Linked DNA regions of Zea mays. The protein of the gene in region 1 binds, or shares a complex with, the protein of each later gene. Links are inferred from orthologs where the notes say so. Each region holds a gene or a part of one and is shown on either strand. Other genes may lie near its edges.

The links. Proteins that work in one complex are often made in the same cells at the same time.
Region 2: Nuclear pore complex protein GP210 (region 1) and Aladin-like share a complex: the UniProt entries of both Arabidopsis thaliana proteins name them as parts of the nuclear pore complex. The link is inferred for Zea mays from reciprocal best matches to the Arabidopsis thaliana genes EMB3012 and AT3G56900.

What each region holds. Positions count from the first base shown.
Region 1 is NC_050097.1:170,603,117-170,605,451, forward strand, and holds part of Nuclear pore complex protein GP210, read left to right. Parts: intron 1-797; coding exon 798-905; intron 906-1,008; coding exon 1,009-1,150; intron 1,151-1,919; coding exon 1,920-2,003; intron 2,004-2,335.
Region 2 is NC_050105.1:1,560,000-1,564,170, reverse strand, and holds the start of Aladin-like, read right to left. Parts: upstream 2,810-4,171; 5' UTR 2,688-2,809; coding exon 2,630-2,687; intron 2,514-2,629; coding exon 2,458-2,513; intron 2,354-2,457; coding exon 2,183-2,353; intron 1,498-2,182; coding exon 1,383-1,497; intron 1,273-1,382; coding exon 1,173-1,272; intron 1,065-1,172; coding exon 882-1,064; intron 424-881; coding exon 365-423; intron 273-364; coding exon 185-272; intron 108-184; coding exon 32-107; intron 1-31. Other genes in the region: protein ROOT PRIMORDIUM DEFECTIVE 1-like, read left to right, coding at 3,965-4,171.

The DNA.
Region 1 (2,335 bases):
CTTTCAAGCGTTAGCTCGTGGTCTTCCGGTCTAGTGTTGAGGTTGAGTACCGAGCCGTCACTAGTGGGGTTGCTGAGGCGAGCTGGTTGCGCCAACTCCTTTAGGAGCTTGAAAACCCCCTCACTCGGAGCACATTTGTCTACTGCAACAACTTCAGCACCGTCTATCTCTCCGTCAACCTCGCCCAACACCAACACATGAAGCATGTTGAGGTCGATCTTCACATCGTCCATGAGCGCGTTGCTGTTAGGGACATCCGTGTTCATCACGTCCCGATGAGCTCGCAGTTTGCCGACATCTTCACGAAGGGTCTTCCCTTGTTTTTATAAATTCTATCTAGTCAATGTTTGCTCTGGCTAGTGTTTTGACTGCCCCGGGGGGGGGGGGGGTTGGCCTTTAGGGTTAGGGGTAAACCCTATATATCTTGTGCTCTCTACACTTGTGAATTGATATAACATATTTTAACGAGTACAGCTATATGTACACCCATATAAAATTTGGGAAATGCTTCAAGTACAACCACAGTACAACTCAGAATCCAATGGTTGGGATCACTTGGATGGAAAGCTCATACGTGCATTACATGGTTGTACTTAAGTAGTTGAGTTATGCTCAAGTGATTGTACTTGATGCATTTTCAAAAATTTATACTGGTGATATATAGGTCAGAAGTAGGTCGTTTTCAGCTAATGTTTTAGCTTAGTACTAATGTAGTGTCGAGTATTTGTTTGATTGATAGAGTAAGCAATCATTGTTACCATACATATTGTTAGGTCATAAACATACTGCTGTTATAGGTATGGACATGTGTGGACATGGTCACTGGTTAAGTAGCAATGGGAAGATCGTCCACATCAATCGGGTAACTGGTGAAGCACAAGCACGTAGTGAAGGTGTAGCGGAAGGTAGTCTTAAGACCATATATCCAAGCATAACTGTATAATACATTATCAACTAGACTGTTCTTTTTTTATGATAACTTCTCGCAAATCTACTCTTTCTAAACAGTAATCTTCAAAGGTTCAAATTTTAAGCTGCAAACAACTATCACTGTTCTCAAGGTGAACCAGATAGTTGTTGATGCTCCTGCGGAGACACTGACTAATGCAGCTGGCCTGCCGGATGGATACATGTTTTCTGTGAGATTTAGGTTTGTATTGCTCATATGATAACCTTCCTTCCACATTTTTGTAATTATATTATAATCAAGGCTGAAACTACTCTAACATACCAATGTGATTTCCTTGGGATTTCGTGTCAATTCAGGAGCAGACATAAATTTGTGGTATACTAGGTTGGAATATGTGGAAAGTGTAACGTACTGATTTCAAGTGCACAGATAGTGCATGGTATGTGCACTATGGAAAATACCATCTAAGAGCATCTCCAAGAGACTAGCTAAATAAATTTTAGCTACTTAATAGTATAATAGCTCTCCAACAGACTAGCCATCTAACTTGCTAAGCTATCTGGTTCTCCAAATTAACTCACTCACTAGCCAAATTTGGCTAGCAACTCTCGCTAGCCAAATTAACTTGCATGTTGGAGAGTCTGTTGGAATGAGATTTTATATATAGAGTTTAATATTTATGGAGAGACAAATAAAGAGTCAAATAGAGAGTCAAAAATAAAGAGTCTCTTGGAGATGCTCTAAGCCAACTGCATTTAGTATTTCTATATGTGTAGTTATCTGCTTCTGCTGCAGTTTGTGATCTTAAAGGAGAGGCTCACAACATTTATATGCATAAAATGTCTCATATGACTTCTAGCATAGGAATGCAGTCACTATGAAAATCGGATAAGTACCCTTTGAAACTGTAATTGAGTTTATCACATGTATCTGCAACTATCTCCAGTCTCAAAGGAATGTAACAATGCATATCATTTGTGCTAACCTTTTCTCATTTCTTTTTCTATAGTGATTCAATTGAGCACAGTATTGGATCCTCTGCGAGCCCAATTAATGTCCCCTTTGAATGCAAGGTTGACCCTTCTTTTGTTGGGTACGTTTCCTTCTCGTCAATGCGTACACAAAGCATCTCCAGCAGTTCCCAATAATCTATCCCCAATATGTATGTATTGGGGTAAGCCCAATATTGTTTCTGTGAGTATTGGGGGAGTTGCTGCAGCCGGAACCCAATATATCTCCCCCAATACCCATGTGGAAGGTGAGTCCTGCAGGAGTGTAAGAGGAAAGATGGCTGAAAAGTGATAGTTGGGGTGGGCCCCATGGTATTGGGGGAGATACAGCTGCCCCTTTACTTGAGGGGAGATGAGGGAAATATTGGTGACCACAAAAAAGGAGAGGCATTGGGGAACTGCTGAGTAAGAAAAA
Region 2 (4,171 bases), on another chromosome or scaffold:
GCAGGTATTTGTGACTGAAGATATCACTTACAGACACATATCCATTAGACGAAGACCAGGGTTCTGAAGTCCATGTGTTTGTCTCCCAGAAGTGAAAAGTACCATCACTAGCAATAAATGAAATTTAAATTTTTGGAAATATTATCGACAAGAAATGAAAACGAAAAGTGAAAATTGACCATACAATTTAGCAACTAGAAGGTAATCTCCACTGGGTGACCACCGCACTAATGATATATTGCTTAATCCACGCCGTATAGGAGTTCCCAACCCTGAAGCAAAAGGAATGTGTCAAGATTATAGCCAACAATTCTGTATAAATGGGATTGACTGCATGTATTGAGAAAAGGACTGGTATACATACCTTGAGACACATCCCAAATTGTGAAAGATGAACTATTACATGAGGCAGATGCCAAGTATGTGGAGAGCAGTCAAGGAAAAAAATGTCTTCAACCGTTGAAATTTCCCACAAATGACTAAACCTACTGTAAACATCTATGTATGCATGGTGCTGTAAATTTGGCAAAAATAGAATTTTTGAAGTTAGCCACACACTGTATTTTAGTTATTTTACAGTTTTAAAACAAGAGAAACGGTGAGTAGTCATGGCTAAAGACCTCCAAACTCTTTTCTATGGCCTCCTGCCTCGGTTAGTCGGTTATTAGGTTGTTTTTTCCTTTTGTTCCAATGGCATGCCTGCATTGTGCATAATGGGTTTGAGTGTTTGTGTTGTGTTGGGTAAGTGGTGTTGTATATTTGGGTTAGCTTTCTTTGCCGACGAAATGATACAGAGGTGTTTAGCGAGTTAAATAAATAAAAGGAGAGATGAAAAGCAGCAGCAAAATTCACAATGCCACTATGAAACTTATCAAGGATATCTTCCATCAGGTTTCCAACAAAGTGCACTAACGAGCTCAGCAGAAGAGCCACGAAGAACATCCACAAGTATCCACTGACCACCAGAACCTCTAGGGAAGGCACTAAAGGAAGAAGAAGTGACCCCAGATTTCATGAATGGGACATTGCCAGGATATGATGCCGACCAGAGGCATATCCCTCCTCTGAAAAGAAAATGCTGATTTCAATATAAAAGTAAAGTATGACAGCAAATTATTCAGAGACAACAAGGATTGATTCAAGTTAAATGGTGAGGTGGCAGTAGTACACACTTGCAGGCAACTGCAATCATCTTCCCACTATTTGGTCTCCACTCAACAGCCTTAACATCCGTTTGATGATCATTTGTTAAAATGCATGGTTCTTTAGCATCTGTTAAAGAGATTGGCCAATGTTATGTTTTGCAACTAACCTGATGGATAGAGTTCAGTTCATAAATAAACTAATAAAACATAGCAAAATAGGCACAAGGCCGATCTTACCTGAGTCCTCAAAGTCTTGGACAGTAACCTGGTTCTTCCCAGACACGAATGCTAAGCAATGCTTGTATGGATTCCAACTTACTTTCTGCGTGTCAAATTCTTCTAGCAGATTTGGCTGGTAAACAAGAATGATCGAATTTGAGTACGACTGTAATGGTTTCGTAAAAAATCACACAGGAAATGTACAAGCAGGAAGCAAATCTAGGGTGTTCATCCCAAGAACAATAGCTGGAGGATAGATTTTTTTTTGGGAAGTATGCTGGATGAATTAGTAACTGGAGTTCTGATACAACATCAACCTTCAAGTTATGTTGAGCTGTGCTTTTGCAATCTGAGTAACATTGTTACCTCCTGAATCATGAAATAAGTTATTTTACTATGTTAAAACAATTCAACATATATCAGATCATGAAAGCACACTGTGGCACTAGGGAAGTGAGAAGCAGACAATGCATTCGCCTTTGGGCACAGAGTTTTCGTTGCATGACCATGTATTTGTATGTAGATATAAGCACCAGCAACTGACAAAAGATATGATAAAATTCTGGAGTTCACTTATCTACACACAAGCGAGTGGTTTAAGTACGCGGGTATCTCTGGGGACAAATTTGAGGAACATCAAATTGTAGTAACTCAGAATCTCAGTTAGGAATATAGGACAATCCAATGTGAACAGCATTGTAGTAACTCAAATTTATTTGGCTTGCAAACCAGAATGGTCGAATGTGAGTATCATTGTAATGATTTACTAAAAAGTTTACATTGAGGATAAGTAATTCAGATAGGACGATCCAACTCACGTCTAGTGGAGGGAAGACCATCCGCCTGAAGAAGTCGGATATGGTGGCTGCCAAACCAGCGGTGGGCACAGTGTCAGCAGGCTCGACTTGGTCCGCGGCAGGAGCAGCAGGCTCGCGGCTGGCGAGAAGAAGAGCCTCCGGCTGGAACGGAATCGGGGCGAACACCATCCCCTGCAACACGACGGCCAACAAGCCCCAGATTTGAGCCCCTCGTCAGGCAGGCAAGCACAACGTGGTTCACAGATGAAGAGTGAGTTCGAGGGGAGCGGACTGACGAGGACATCCCCATATGCGTCCTTGGCGCGGTCGTCGGAGAGGGCATCCACCGCAACTGCGAGAGGCCAGGGGGAGGCGGATTGAATCAAACAAGCGAGCGGAAATGCTTACTACAGCTAGTTAAAATGAGTGTGTGGTTGTTGGGGGGCAGCGGATTTGCTGGGCGCTTACCGAGGTCGCGGTTGATCTCGCAGATGGTGACGGCGCCCGGCGGAGGGAAGCTCGGCATCGCAGCTAGCTAGCTTGATAGGGTTAGGAGATAGATTCGAGGTTCCCGGACCCAGCCCGAAATGGGGCGCTTGAGCTCGACCAGTACACGAGGCAGCCAGGGGAAGCGGCGGCGGAAGCAACCGAGCGGCGAACGGGGAGAGAACGGAGGCGCGAGCGCGACGGGCAGACCAGGGGCGGATGTGTTTTTCGCCTCTGCAGCCCATACAAAACCAGCCCATAAACAACCAGGCCTTGAAGGCCCAGCCCAAAGCACCTCGCACCTCGCCTCTCGATCCACCATTCTCCGTCCGCCGTCACCCACGCTTGCTGGCTCCGCCGACGCATCTCGCAAGCTGCCAGCGCCCCCCTCGCCCCTCTCCACTGTGGTCCGCAGCCGCTTGGAGCTTGCAGCTTGCCTGTTCGTCGTCTCGGTCCCAGCCGGCAGCCGGTCAACCCTCCAACCCCCTCTCTAGGCGGCTAGGCAGCAAGTCTCCCAGGCTGGCAGGCTCCCAGCCGGCAGCGGCAGGAGCCCGCACAATCTGCTCGGCCCCTGGCCCCTACCATGCTTGGCCGCCTGGGCACCTTGGTGCTAAACCTGCTGAGGCAGAGAGTAGAAAGGACATGACATCGCTCTACTAACTGGCCACCGGTAATCAATATTTCATCCCTTTTTATCTGGCAAATTTTTACTTTAATGATTAATTTAGTTGCATTGAGCGGGTGGTGGAAGGGTTTAAGTGTTAAATGTGACCTACGGTTGAATCACGATCTAATGGATCAGATGGTTTGCTTGCACGCTTGCACAGAAGGACTGCTTGCATAGCAGTCGTTGCCGCATTGCATACCTCAGAGCCTGGAGGCTAGAATGGAGAAAATATAAAAAAGATTCTTAGCATTGTACATGTTGCTTTGGTAGAATTGATATTGTTATTTGTGTTCTTCCTTGTACCTAGTATACATTTTGGTATGTCGCCAGTAAGATTTCTAGCCTTAATTATTTACCCCCTCCCCACACACCCCCACCCACCCCTACCCTGGATGATTTCCGCCACTGATCAGCAGCTTTCTTTTCTCCTCTTTATTCAGTGAACCTTATCAAGTCATGTAAATAGAACAATCCCACGTGCATTCATGCGAACCTGGTGCTTTCCATTCCATTGTCTACTAAACTGACTCCGCGTGCAATCTCCTTCCTTCTTGCAGTTGCAGCTCCAGCAAGTCGCCATTGCTCTAGAGATCCACATGTGGTTCTCGGTGCATTTTCGTATCTTTTAGAATTGAACTGTGAAAAACACAATGGCATCGATCTTATCTGGAGCAAGGAGCCTTCACTCACTCGCTCTGCTATCGCGGATGTTGGGCGAGACGACTCAGCTCGGTCCTTTTAACCGCAGCGTGCAGCGGAGGTGGAGAAAGCCTGTAGATTCGGCAAGAACACGTCTTGAGGGAAGAACGAGGGATCATAGGCTGGACAAACTAATGGTTCAGCTGAGGAACTTGAGG